Drosophila melanogaster: one gene and its partner. The gene in region 2 interacts genetically with the main gene of each other region. Each region holds a gene or a part of one and is shown on either strand. Other genes may lie near its edges.

Region 1 (6,702 bases), on a different chromosome or scaffold from region 2:
CGCATTATTTCCACACCTTGCATGCATTTTAATTAGCCGACCACATAAACGGCCTAATTAGTTTACAATTGAAAAAGACAAGTGCAATAATCTGTTGGCAAACAGAATTTGCATAAATATTAAATCAGACAGCAACATAAACAATTTGGCGAGCACAGAATTAGTAGCACCAAACCATTTTCATTCTGAAAACTAATCCCGGTATAAGGACTAATCGCCTACTGATGGCAGTTGAAGGATTCGGGCTATGAAAGAAGAAACCACAGACCACCCGACCACTTAATCAGTGACGTGAGCTCTGCAAACTGTCAGCTGCAGTTTCCGCCGCAGCAATCCGCAGCAAACCGCAGCAAACCACACGTGTGACAGCGGACCGCAATACACAACCACTGGGCAAAAGGCGATTAAAGACATTTCAATTTAATTGGTCATTTTTCGATACACAGCAAAAATAGCCATGCAGTTGCTTAAATGCGGATCAGTATAAATAAAATTGCAGTTAAAGTAGGTGGCTATTAAAGCAAGTAATTTGATTTAATAAAACAAGCTACGTTTAACTTAACTCAGTGAGCATATTCAGTAGTCTGACTTTAATTTATTACAATTATTTCCGTCGCTTGCATTTATATTTATTCAATATATCTGCTATTGCCAGATTTACGGATTGTGGCTAGATATTTGCAAAATATTACCTTAAATAGTACGTGTATGTTGCCGCCACAAGTTTGCCAATTAAAACAGATATATTCATATACGGCATGAAATAAATTTGTTTTTACTGGAAAATCGGCAAAAACCGCTGCACTTAGGTGGCAAAAGCCGTGTGCCGAAAGTTTTCCGTTTTCCCGGGAATGCAATTAATTTGCATCAGGCAGGATGCTCTGCTGCTCCTCGAATCCTGCATATGGGCAACTGTGATGCCGAAACTTTGTGTCTGTTTGATAAATTGTATCAAGTTTGCCGCCTACGGTTGCAGTTGCTCCGGGTGCGATGCACTAGCAAATTGCAGCTAATGGAATCTGCAATTGAAATGAGGTCCTGCAAGGACGACGAAACATTCCCAAGCTGCTAATTTAATGTCACAGTATCTGGCTCTACTCATTTTGCACTTAAAATGGTGGCACTTTTACATGAAAATGAAATTTGATTCCTTATTTTATGAGGCATGAATTCTTATGGCTAAAGGGATTTTTGGTGTAACTTAATGTTCCTGTGGGTGAATTTAAAAATCTTCCCCCCAATTACTCTGCGTAAAATTTTCCAGCATTTGAGTGATGTCCTTCCTTTGGCAAGGAAAAGTTTAAAGTCCCCAATGGGAAACGAAAATTGGAGTTTGCAGCTTTTCCACTAAGCCGGCAACTGGCAACTGCCAACTGCAGTTTTAGCCAAATGAAAATGGCAGGGACATAAACTGAAAAACGAGCTGTTGAAAAGAAATGCCAGCACAGAGCTATGAACGCTTTCATCCTGCAATTTATTGCCAGCTATTAGTATATGTGTCAAAATTTGTTGGCTTTAATTGAAAATGAATCGCTCTTTGGATAACATAAGTGGTTCTCCTTTTTTTCCTTGGCGTTAACTCAATTCAATGGATGGTTTTTTAATTTTTGAATTTTCTTTGGGTCTCATGAATTATAAAACATAACACGAGCTTTTCCGCTTTTCATATAATTATGGCCTTGATGGAAGTGAGTTCAATTCGGTGTTTCCTTTATCTAAATTATCCGCGGTAGGCCATGGAAAATTTCCACAAAATTCTTAATCAAATAGTTGTGGTTATTATTTTGATTCTACAAGTGCCGGGTAATTTGAGACAGAAGTCAAATAATAATACAGCTCTTACCGAAACAATCAATCAGTTCATAATGACAGCTCCAAATGCACATTTAATAAGGTATCGTATTCTTATTAAATATTAAATCTCGACTTTGGCTGTCAGACGAAAAGTTTGGTAAATTCGATTTCGTTTTAGCCGGCTTTTCCTCTCGTTGGGTCAAGAACCTCGTATTTGAAGCAACAGAACGAAAATTACAGGCTCGAAACAAAGGGCAAAAGCCGTAAAGCTAAGTGAAGTTAGGCTAATATACATATTAGGGTGGACCTTTTTCTTAATGCTAAAAACAGCAGTTGGAAGTACACCGAATAAACTTTGTTCATTTGATCAAAAGAAAGTTATATATGGTCAGTTAGATGGCGGGTCTCTTTTCTGCTTGAGCTCTACTCTAGTCAAATCATATTTTTTAATCACTTCTCAAGCTTTAAAGGTTCACCCTAATCTACGCAAGTAACTTATTAGAAAAAGTCGGTGCGTCACATCCTTTTTTTTTGGCCGAAATGTTTCTTTTTACGACTTGCGTGAGGAAAAGCTTGAGCGATTTGCGGAAAGCAAATATTATATTCATATGTGGAAGTAGTGAACAATTGTGTGACTTATTGCTGGGCATTATCCTGCGGCTCAGTTCCTCGCGAAGCTGAAGGACTCGTCACCAGGCGGGAATCGATTTTGTGGCCTCGCTTAATGGTATTCCATGGGTGATGGCAATACGAAAACAATGCCAACGAATGGTATTGTGTATATTTCTAGTTGCGCTGTCTGTCTGTGTTCCTATGGGGATACTATAGAATCCTGTCTGCCTGGACATATCTGTGTGTGTGTGTGTGTGGGTAGTTGCCCATAGTGACGCAGGACACCAATCAAAGAAAGGATACTACATTGTGGGTTAGCTGGCGTCCAGGCCGAAGACTTTATTAATCCTTTGTGTATATTTAGCGACCACTTTATGAGTTGACTGCCATATATCTTTCTGTTGATTTATGCCAAGTGCAAATTGACTCCGTTTTTTTGTGCCACATTCTCTTTTTTATGGCGGATATAACTTTGTGTTGGCTTAAGCTCGAGAAAATGACCCAAAACGATTGTTCGGAAGGATTAATGTTCTATGCTAACACGTTCAAAGAAAATTAGCTTGACTCAGCAAGTGAATATTTATCATATTTATACTCGCATTTGAAAATGAATGTGATAAAGCAAACATTATTCAAACAAGCTGCTTTAAAATGGTAATCACGAAATGTGTTAATTCATGGGAATTTGTGAGATGATTCAATGTGAATTTATAATTAAAATTAAAATTCAATCAAAATGAAATGCGCTCCCATGGCTTCCACTTATTTTCGATTTCTTTCAAGCTATTTCATTTGTAGCTGAAATGACTTGGCATAATGTTTTCAAAATGTCCTCCCATTCGAAGAAGCTGTCAATAGCTGCTCAATGTTTTATAAGCCATAGCGGCACGAAATCGAAGTAACTCGAAGGACCCAGGACCTCCCACACTTGGCAGCCCAACTCAACCACATCGAAGTGATTCGATTTATGAGCCAGTGGGTGGAGTAGGGTGCCTTTTGGTTCCGTGCCACTCAACATAATTAGGGCCAATGACAATCGAATCGGACTGCAGCAACTGCACCACCACCAGGAGCTTCGTTTCGATTTATTTGGACGCCGTTGCCAGGACAACGGACGAACACCTGGCCACGAGCAAACGGGCACAACAAAACCACTTGGAGAAGGCGTTAAGCCACTTGGGTGTTTCATTTTCCTTTTTTTTTTGTTGCCTTTAAGGGGTGGCACATTTAGAGCGGTCAACTTTGAGGCCAAAAAGTGAACAATTCCGTGTAATGCCGGCTGATGGCCCCTTTTCTGCTGGCGCTGATTGCTATGGGCTGCCCGAGTTTTCCAAGAAAGGAGTGGATTTTCTTGTTTCTAGACCACATTCACGAACCGTCGGGCTGGAAGAGTTAAAAGGCCAGTGCTAACTTGCCTTGATTCATGGTCAATTGAAAAAAAGTTCTTAAAGAATTCTTAGCTAAAGCAAAAGTTTAATACAAGTAGCCATTAAATTGTTCATAAATTTCGCTGTCGTATGTATAGATTGGTTTTGTTATAATATAGGATCGTTGGTTTAATGTGTCCACTTTATGAAGATTATCAAACACAATGGATATGAATGACACATTTAAAGAAATTCAAATTTCAGAGATTACATTATCAAAGATTATAGGTTTGGTAAAATCTAGAAAAGATCTGCCAAATTGGAGTGTTGGGTTTACCTGCTGTTCCATTTTCTGATTACGACTGTTGATTCCGGACATTTTTGCAGTTATGGCTGTAGATTTCAGAAGGCAATCAAAATCCTCTGACGATTTTCACTTAACTACGCGCGATTCAGATGATCCGATGAAGAGGCATTTGGCAAATATTCGGGAGTGACAGCTGTTTTGGGATTTGCGTTGAAGAGCGACTTTTCGAATGCGAATGAATGCAGCAAAACAAAAACCGATGGGGCACCAAAATAATTGAAGAAGAATCTATGAATTTAGCACACCTGGCGTCAGTTTGTATGGTATGGTATATATTTTGTAGTTTGTGGTAGTGTAGTACGGCAGCACACGCGACAACAAAAAAATCAAGGGGTGTTCACGAGGGTGAGGATTTGTAGACTGAAGCCAACAGCCGGCTCTTCCTGTTCTCGCTCAATTTTTTTTGTACCGACGCGATCGATCGGAATTCTCCGGATCGCTGGCACTGAATGTTTGCTTTAGCCACTGAGCGAGTACCGCCTGAATATGCATATATTTATAATGTTATACAATCTATGTTGTTTGACAAACACTTTCGTGCCCGTTGAGTTGCGTGTGATATTGTCCAATTGATTGAATTTGGCGCCTCTTTATTTTGGTAGAGGAGAGAAGGCGATGTAACCCGTCGACCGAACCGCACGCTGCCAAAACAACAACTGGGCGTCCAACAGAAGCCGTCAACTCAGGCGAAGTGCTCGTAGCGGAACGGAATGGAAACGGAACATGCACACGAATGCCAGCCGAAGCAGGAGTGCGAAGCATGCCATCCTGTCGTGTGTCAGCGAAAGAGAGGCAGAGAGAACCACAACTCGCTCTCAATGGGAATGGGTCTCTCCCTCTCTCCCTCTCTCTCTCTCTCTCCGCACAACGCCTCCTGTGGCTGCTTCCTCTTCCATTTCCTACGAGCGACAGATGTGCAGCTGCCGACTGCGACTGCATTTGGATTCGCGCCCCCGACTCCCTGTTACTGGGATTTTGGGATGCATTCCCGTACAAAGCATACGCATCTGGCAATTCGATTCCGGATTGAGCAAAAAACCACGCTGATAACAGGATAATAGAGTGTTGAAAAATTATACAACTTTATGATTATGATCCTTAAGCGGAATTTACAACAATTAAAAACATCAATTTGCGTTGTCAACTCGCGCGCTTTATTTCATTAACATTAGACTTATGCTACGATGATGGTGAGTAAAATTAAATAACAAATAAATGAATATAGAGTTTCGCGTTACGGTAAATTCGATTGAAATTGCCTTGTCATTTTTGAGGTTTCTTACACGTTAACTTTGTCGGTTTTTTTTTTGTTTGGAGGCGGAAGATCCCAGGGATTCTAGAAAAACCTGTGCTTTTTCTTCTTCTTGTTCTCCCCCTCCGCCGGCGGCTGGGGATCCACGGAAACCTGACGCCTGGGCAGCAGAGGTGGCGGAGTAACATCCCCAGCTCCAACAGCATCGGCTCCAACTCCATTAGCATCCACTCCATTGGACGCCGGCGATAGAGGACGCGGTGCGCGCAGGATCGAGGTGAGTGGTGGCACCGGGGAGTGGCCATTGCCATTCGCCTCCTGGCCATCCTCCTCGATCCTGTCCAGTCGCGAACCGTGCACCGAGGCAAGCTCGGAGGGAGTCTTCACCTGGGAGCCGCCCTCATCACCAAGCTCGCTGGTCATGTTCATGCCAATGGTGGCGCCCACTTTGGCGCTGGCCATTTTGAAGTGATCGCTCAGCTTGATCTGCACCACATTGATGAACATGGAGGTCAGGGCCAAGCCGAACATCAGATAGATCATGCTGACCATTACGTAGAAGGGATTACTGGGCACCAGGTCGCCGAACCCAATTGTGGACATCGAGATGAACACGTAGTAGAAGGCATCCAGTGGAGTCCAGCTGGGCTCCATCATTAGAAAGCCGAAGGATCCTAGGAGGATGTACGTAATGAGCAGCAGCGAGGCCACCGACACTGGCAAATTGAACTCGTCGTCCACCTCGAAGGTCTCTGGATAGGGTGATGTGGGTGTCTCCGGGTGCGAGGTGCCCACCGATCTTGCGGCCTCGGCATCCGCCTGCGACTCCTCATCGTTCTCTGGCGCAGAGTTGCTGAAGAACATGCTCGGCCTGCGGATGGCCATGTCGTACATCGTATTGAAGCCTGTCATGGCGCTCCGGATCTGCTGCTGCTTTCGTATCCGGCGGCAGGAGCGCGTGTAGTACATCCGTCGCACATACACCCACAGGAACTTGACGCAGCGCGTGAATAACTTGCCCAGATCGGCCAGCACGATCAGGAACATGGGGATGCCGATGATGGCATAGACGATGGTCAGGGATCGACCCATGCCCGTCTTTGGAGTGATGTGGCCGTAACCTGGAAAGGAAGAGAAGAAGGCATGGGAGTTAATAAGTTAAATATGACTAACTAAAAAAAGAACCTAAAATGGAAATATGCTCATATATAAGAACTAACGAAAGGATTTAGGAGTTTTGGATGGTTATGGGTCCATTGTAACCCATTACCTATAGTTGTGATCACGGTCCAACAGAAGATGAAGCAATT
Region 2 (8,234 bases):
CGCAATTGTTTAGATACAGCAAGCGATTTTTGTAAAAACATAGAGACATACCTTATAATCCACTTACCCCATGCCATCGATACGGCAGCTCGCAGAAATCATCGATAACCCGGCGCGAATAATAGTTGTAACAGTAGGCACGTGCAGGAACGTTTTGAATACAGGTATGTGTAAAAAAAGCAATATCATTCTGCTACTAGTCAAGCTCATAAGTACGTGTCTACAGCCAGGCGTGAGTGTTTAAGACTTTAAGGATTAAGACCTAGTGTCGTTTAAAAAAGCTGCAAAATGAAAAAGGCGACTACTTCCGCGGCCGCCAAGTCTCAAGGCAACAGCAAAATGCAGAAAAACGCAAATAACGGCACAGCTAAAGACAAGAAGAAGCCCAATCTAGATAAAGAATCGAATGATTCCAATTCGGTATCTGATATGCTCGCCGTAACCAAGGACCAAGAGGTGCATGCCTTTTTCTCTAAATTATTCGACGATGACGCCGGTCCATCAACATCCAAAAAGACCCAGTCAGGGTCAGCCGCAGCCGCTAAGACCGCAGATCGCAAGCGACGTCTTCAGGCCGAGGCGGATGCCAACAATAATGATACCGGAAAAGCCGGTAAGTTGACCAAGGAATCGGAAGCTACTCAAGGAGCCAGGGCCACCAAACGCAAGCAAGCACGTAGTCTGGGACTGGAGCGCACCTCGCCGATCCAGGTTAATGGCGCGGCTTTAGCCTGCCCTTTGGTGCGCAAATCGCTGCCCCCAGGGGAGGCCAATTCCTGTCCTCAGCCGCCCAAAAAGGACCCAGCAGCCGTGAACTCATTAGTTAAAATAATTAAGGCGGAACCCACCGAAGAGGGCAATAATAACAATGACGAAAAGGAGACTGAAACAATAGAAACTCACAAAGCCGACAGCGTCGAAGAGGGTCGTCGCGTCCTGCAGTGGATACTCTTTCCGGTCCAAACTAAAGTCTTCTTCAAAGACTTCTGGGAGCACACCGCCTGCCTGGTGCAGCGCTCTAATCCCAAATACTTTCAAAGTATGATATCATTCAAGATGCTTGACGAAATACTGATTCGCCATCATTTGGACTTCACCGTCAACGTGGATGTGACCACTTACAAGAACGGCAAGCGTGAGACACTGAATCCCGAGGGTCGTGCCTTGCCACCAGCTGTGTGGGGCTTCTATTCGGACGGCTGCAGCATTCGTTTACTGAATCCTTCCACCTATCTAATTCGCTTGCGTCAGGTGTGCACCGTTTTGCAGGAGTTCTTTCACTGCAAGGTGGGGGCAAATCTATACCTAACCCCACCCAATAGCCAGGGCTTTGCGCCCCATTACGATGACATCGAGGCTTTCGTTATCCAAGTGGAGGGACGCAAGCGCTGGCTTTTGTACGAGCCGCCCAAGAAGGCCGATCAACTGGCCAGGATCTCGTCGGGCAACTATGATCAAGAGCAGCTGGGTAAGCCCATAATTGATGAGGTACTAAGCGCCGGCGATGTACTATATTTCCCGAGAGGCGCTGTTCACCAGGCCATCACCGAAGAGCAACAGCACTCGCTGCACATTACCTTGAGTGTTTACCAACAGCAGGCATATGCCAATCTTCTAGAGACACTAATGCCCATGGTTCTTAAGAAGGCCGTCGATCGGAGTGTGGCCTTGCGTCGCGGCTTGCCGCTGCACACTTTTCAAGTTTTGGGCAATGCCTACAAGGGAAATGACTGCGGGTCGCGCAAACAGCTGGTGGAGAATGTGCAGAAGCTGGTGACCAATTACTTGATGCCCTCCGAAGATGATATTGATGAGGCCGTCGACCAGATGGCCAAGAAGTTCCAGCACGAGGCACTTCCGCCGATCGTATTGCCCTCGGAGGAGGTGCGCACTGTTCATGGGGCACGCAGTGATGCCGATGAGCAGGGCAACTGCGTCTGCGATTACAAATTCAATAAAAAGACATCCGTGCGCCTGCTGCGTGCCAACATTCTGCGTCTGGTGACCGAGTCCGATGGCAGCGTGCGTATCTACCACCATGTGGACAATGGCCTGGATTACTGCAAGTACGAGCCCTATTTCATGGAGATTCTGCCAGAGGAAGCTAAAGCCGTTGAGCTCCTCATATCGGCCTATCCATTTTACCTCACCATTGATCAGTTGCCATTGGAGTCTTCAGCTCGCAAGATAGAGGTCGCCACCGCCCTGTGGGAGCATGGTCTTCTTATGACCGAGAAGCCGTTTAAGTAGACGGCAATCGAAAGCGAGTTGCTGTTGATAATTAGAATTAAGTATCGATGCGAATGTGTATCTAAAACGAGCGTAAATTAATATTTTTGTATAAATATGTAACCAGATTTATAATGCTCCTATTCTGCCGAAAATAAAGCACCCACATTCGCACATATATCTCGGTTGTTTTTTGGTGTTTCCAATAGTTGTAAATTTTATTTTTTTCACTAACAAAAAATGGTTATCTTAGGCGCTGCGGATTTTCTTGCGTTCACGATAAAGGCTTTCCTGTTGAACTGAAAAAGAAACATGGGCAACATCAGTGCATATGCATAAAGTCAGTGATGGCCGGCACTCACTGTACGGATCGAAGCGTATTATCTCCAATTTGTCGGCCAAGCGATCGCGAAAAGCATTAAACTGATGTCCACTGACCACACTTTCCAGTACGACCATGATGCGCCTGTAAAAACGGTTGGTTTTAACAAAAAGAACAAATTGGATGTCCAAATTACTCACTTGCTCTTCACCTTTTTGAACAAAACGTTAGTTAGACGCATTTTGATTCGGTAAATGGGGAAAATGCAGTGAATTATGGAAATATGCCGCTGAAATTATTGTGCAAGCAAGACGATAGGAACGAAGAACAGCTGACTGCGCCTATCGATTACCACCCGAGGGCTCAAGCTTTTCACCCGGATATTTTGAAAAACAATCGGTGTCCACGTATGATGAGTATATATTTAATATTACTATATTTATATTTGATGCATTTATGTCTCTCTGTTTTAAAGCCTTCCTTTCGAAATTGCTAAAAAGCTCTCAGATGCAATGTGGTTAGTAGAAGTCATTCACATATGTATCTTTGGTTGAAGTCCCTGCCAATTAAATATTAAAAAGTTAACATACAGGTTTGAGTCCGTGCTAGAGACTGCAAGCTGTGCCACTGAGGTTAACAGAAGCCAATCGATACCAAGCGCAAGCACTGAAATGTATCGTCGAGAAACATCGGTGGTCAATGCATTCGATGCTTTTTTACATCACTAACACTCGTGCGAAACGGACGCGAATTTTCATTTGTGCTGCGGAAACCAACAACAACAGACAACAAATAAAAACAAACGAAAAACAAAACGGTCAAAATTCCGTGTAAAAAAACTGAAGCCTTGGAAAAATAGAACGAAAAACATAGACGCACTAAAAGCTCAGTGAAGTCCTTTGTGGGCGAAACCGTATAATAAAATAAATCACAGCCACACGCGCTTTCTGTAACTCCTTTTCGCCTTGCCCTGCTCTTGTTTTCCCTTTTAAATATTTTTTTTACGAGTTGGTTTCCCGAGAATTTCCCATACTCGCGCGTGGTAAACAAGACTCATTTTTTTTTTACAGTGTTTGTTTTTTGAAAGTGCAGAGAAGCTGACAAGAAAGAGATAACAACATAAAAACAGAAACAGCCAAAGAGTGGCAACAACAAACAAACCAACCAAACGGAATCAAAGTCAAACAAACGCGAACGCGAAGGAAGCTTCAAAAGAGAGACAAGAGCGTGAAAAGGAGGTGGAGAGGAGCTGCGGAGAATCTAAGGTAGGAGGCAGATTGCGAAAAATACGTTTTTTTGTTTTTTGTTGATTTGCATTTGCATATTCAAAAGTTCTCTGTTTTGAGGGTTGCAGAAGCGAAATTAGTTTTTAAAGCCCGCTTAGTAGCCAATTTGCCGGAATTGCACATTGGAATTCAGTGTGTTCCTAAGTACATAAATCACTAAAAACTAACGGCAAAAATTCAAATAGCTTTCAACAAATATTTACAATTACTCATTGATAAAAGTGGTAATGTGATCCATGTGTAAGTTGTTAAATTATTTTCGTAGCGCATTTGTACGAATGAAAGACTGCAGTAAAAGTTTTCGATTGCATGCAGATCGCTTTCCGAGTTTAAGAAGAAAAGTTGTGGAAAACGTTTTCCTTCTTTAGAGACATCAACTTAATCAAATATCGAACAGCTAGTAAGCCATTGAAATCACATCAGTTTCTTTCTGTGCATCTGGCAAAGTGCTTGATTGTTGATATTTCGAGAGGGGGTTTTCGAAAAGCGATCGGAAATCCAAATTGTAAATGATTTACCAAAAACGTAAACTTGGCCGTGACGAGGGGCAAGAAATGGTCGAAACGTGGGCTGGAGCGGAGCAGGAGCAGGTGAAATACATAAACAAACAAGTGCTCGAAGGAGGGTTAGTTGTGGGAGGGGCTACGCAAATACATAAGTATATGAATAAATAATATAAACAAAATATTAAATTAGAAGAAATTTACTTGCGCGCACGCCGACGCAAACACGAACACAAGGTGCTGGTTGTTGTTGTTAGGATGGTGTGGATATGTGGTGGGGAGGGAAAAGCACACATAAAATTGAAGTATTCAAATTTACACACGCAAAAAACGACGTCGGCAGAGCAAACAACAATTTGCCAGTCCGCCAGCCCTCTCGCTCGCACCCATCCGCACTTGGTCGCCGCGTCTCGCTCGCACTAACGACGGCCACTTGTTTTGCCCTCTGTCGACGTCCACGCAGCCACTGTGCACTGAAAGAAACAAAAGACATGGTACAACATATTCATGAATCGCTTGTAAGATTGATATTTTTTTATAAACGCTCACTTTTCTGTTAACAATACAATATTTTACTCGAAAAATTTAAGAGTTTAAAATATTTAAACTTTAGTGTAAAATCACTGAGTTATTCGACACTGTTATTTCAAAATAAAAAAAATAATGATTTACGACCGATAAACAAAACAAATTTAAAAAAATTGAGCCGCAAATACTTTAAATCATCCAATTCCCATTTAGCTTTATCATTTTTTTTCTTTTTAATTTTGTAGGTGTTAATTAGCAAATACTCATATTTTCCATCTCTCGCCCAAGCTGCAAATGTGCATTATTCAAGCTCTACTGTAGTTCTACGTAGCTTACTTTTTGTGGCAAGTGTGGCGATCAGAAGCTTTATTATGCTTCTCCCTCATTTCCTTTTGTTTGTTTGAACTGCAACCGAGCGAAAGGGGGCGTGCCAGTGGGCGGTGGGTGGCCTGGGATTGTGCAATAAAGCTATAATAATAAAATAACAAACAAACCGTTAAAGCGAACGCCGTCGCACACTCATCGCACCCACACAAACGCACCATAGGTATTGGTGTGTGGCTGCATGATGGGGCGGAAGAAATGGAGAGGAGAACGGCAGGCGAAGGAACAATAATCATATTTGCACTTGCTCTCTCGCACGATCATCACCCACGCAGAAAGAGCGGGCAAGAGCAGCAGAGAGCGCCGGTACAGTAGTCATTCGTCGCACGTATATAGCTGGCCATAAAAGTGGATAGTCATCAATGTGTACTGTTTAGTTTCATAGCATTTATAGAGCAGTTTAGTTTGTTCAATATATTCATATGCAGATTAATTATTTAAATCAGCACTTATCCGTCTGCACAAAAAGGCCCCACTGTACTTGAGATAAAAGTTCTCCGTTGCTGGCTCTCCGTTCTCAGTTGGTCAGTGGTCGTCCGCCGGAGCTTTTCCCGTTAGTCCGCTCGCATAATATAATCCGCGATAAACAAGGGAACACGGCACGGAGAGAGAGCGAAACGGCAACGTGTTTCGTTTTGGTGTCAGTTTCGGTTTTGTTTGCCGCATGTTTACCCATTGTATTATTATTACCTGTTCTATTTCTTTTTCTTTTTTTTATGTGTGTACATTTTCACAGCAATCGCATATTTTTTGCAGTGGCTGTGAGCTGAAATACAAAAAATAAAAAAAACAAGTGCAACCAAATACAGTGTTACCTGTTGTGAGTAAACTTAAGGAAACGTGGAGAGAGCGAGAGAGTGCGACAGCCGACTGATCAAACTGTAAATCTTGCAATGCTCTTCAAACTGAAATTCGCAAGGCGGGAAAAAACAAACAAATATAAATAAACAAGAATAACAAACAAAAATAGGTAGCAAAAGCAGGAACAACAAAAGCCGAAGCCAATTAATTAAATACATATCTACGTAAGTTAAACACACAAGCCAACACGAACTATGATCAGGACACTGAGAGAAAAAGGATGCAACTGTTTGCTATTGCAAAATAAACTGAAGTAGCATACAAAATGACATGTTTGATTTTAGATTATATTGTGAATTAAAAAGTTCTTAGTCATGACATTCATATTTCGGGGTATCTTAAGTTCATTTGCAAGTTCACTGAGTCATCGCTTGCTTTTAAAATATTTATTATTCCCCAGAGACTACATTATTAAGTCGCAGGCATTATAAGGGATTTGAAAGGGCGGCCAAGCACATGCCTCATTTTGTAATAGATAGTGCATATGCATATTCCCAGTTCCGGAAATATGTATTGTTATCTCTCATATGGAAATTGCTTGGTAACAATTTATGGTCTTGTATGCAGTAAATAATCTTGAATTATCGTAAATTATCAAAAATCGCCGAGGATTACCAATGCGAAGATAAAACGTTGGAGTTTTCGCCCTTCATTTGTGCCTAAAAAAAAAAAACATCGCTTTGTTTTGTGCCTATATATAGAAGCCCGGGTGCAGAGTGCAGGTGTTTGGTTTGTTTGGTATTCGTAGTTTTATATTCGTCGATGAGTAGGCGAAAATATCAGCGGGCTGAATTACATTCCTAATTGCAGATTAGTTTGTTAATAAAAGTGTCCGTCCAACGTCGAGTCTCCGTGCTCCATTTGGCATATCCATTTGGATGATACAATATACATACGTACATACATACATACATACAATGAACACCATTGCCATTCGCACTTTCATACCCATTGCCACAATTATGGTTCGCATTGTATTATGCATTTATCGAGTTAAGGCCTTTGTGCCTACGTCGACTCAGTTCACCTCGCTTGAGTTGAGCCAGCGATTCCGTAATTCGGATGACATTGGGCCCTCCAATGAATGCCAATATTCGAAGTGAGCACACGGCGTATGCGTAATTTTTGTAAAGCTTTTCCGCACTTTGTATCATATTTACTCGACACTCTTTGTGTCCAATGAACATATCGTCAGTAGCTACTTGATCAGTGTTTATTAATTAAATACAAGACCATTTCAGTGTTAGGCTACTAATTATTGAAACAAATTAATCCCCAAGTACTTAATGCAGAGTTACAGTCTACAGTTCAAAGTAGAGGAGAAAGCACATTGCTGTGTGCAAAAGTAATGGGTATTTTATTGACCAAATACAAACAGTCATAACATTCTGGCAGGCTATTGGCTATTCACTACCAAACTGTCAATCGTGTTTGAATACCATTTCGAAATTAGAATGAATTGTGTATTTTGCGGTCCGCCGCAACGAAACTATAATGTGTGGGGACAGTCGTCACATTCGGATGTTGCAATCAAGTGAGTTGGAAAAAATGGGATTTGGACATGCACGTTATGAGTTTATTTCGCTTTAGTTTTATTTTAAAGCAAAAAGGAAATAAGAAAAAATGTAAAGTTTAAGACTGGTACAAAATTTATTCGAAATTTGTTTTTCGTTTAGGAAAAACCGTGGGCACATTAAAGATGAAATATATCTAATATACGCATAAAATTTGTGGTATTGTGTTGCTCAGCTACCTGATTCCTAGTTAATACGCTTCTCATTCGTCGTTGCACGTCCCTGGATGCGTAGCCAGAGTCCTTTTCGCATCCTTCAGCCAAATCAATACATTCTAGCATTTAGCAAAAAGATGGCGACCATGCCTATTCGGAGTAAATTGTCCTTCATTGGGGGTGTGGTGAACGATGGCGCCACACAATCGAGTATTCCGGCCACCACGTGGTATATGCAAGAACGGAAAGACTGCCATTTGACGGCAGCCATGTATAAGATCAGCCGGCGAGTAAAGCTCATTTTCTCCTTCAGACTCGAAACCTCCTTCTGCAGTTCGACTTCCAGTCCGGTTTGGCTCAACGTCTCCCGGTACCTTCTGTTGGAAAACGTT

The links. A genetic interaction does not mean that the proteins touch.
Region 1: of norpA (region 2) and ktub, changing one suppresses a phenotype caused by changing the other (phenotypic suppression), as found in Drosophila melanogaster (one study listed by BioGRID).

What each region holds. Positions count from the first base shown.
Region 1 is NT_033778.4:21,100,026-21,106,727, reverse strand, and holds the start of ktub (king tubby), read right to left. Parts: upstream 4,801-6,702; 5' UTR 4,153-4,800; coding exon 4,111-4,152; intron 1-4,110. Other genes in the region: CG34396 (uncharacterized protein), read right to left, coding at 5,477-6,513, 6,663-6,702. UniProt on the Drosophila melanogaster protein: Functions in regulating protein trafficking, retinal maintenance and lipid storage. Protects photoreceptor cells R1 to R6 against light-induced retinal degeneration by stimulating norpA-mediated endocytosis of the rhodopsin ninaE (Rh1).
Region 2 is NC_004354.4:4,319,340-4,327,573, forward strand, and holds the start of norpA (no receptor potential A), read left to right. Parts: upstream 1-3,286; 5' UTR 3,287-3,816; intron 3,817-4,269; exon of another isoform or gene 4,270-4,462; intron 4,463-6,008; 5' UTR 6,009-6,277; intron 6,278-7,740; exon of another isoform or gene 7,741-7,951; coding exon of another isoform or gene 7,952-8,219; intron 8,220-8,234. Other genes in the region: NO66 (nucleolar protein 66), read left to right, coding at 289-2,250; mRpL33 (mitochondrial ribosomal protein L33), read right to left, coding at 2,479-2,528, 2,592-2,695, 2,752-2,792; CG12693 (uncharacterized protein), read right to left, coding at 7,952-8,219. UniProt on the Drosophila melanogaster protein: The production of the second messenger molecules diacylglycerol (DAG) and inositol 1,4,5-trisphosphate (IP3) is mediated by activated phosphatidylinositol-specific phospholipase C enzymes. Essential component of the phototransduction pathway.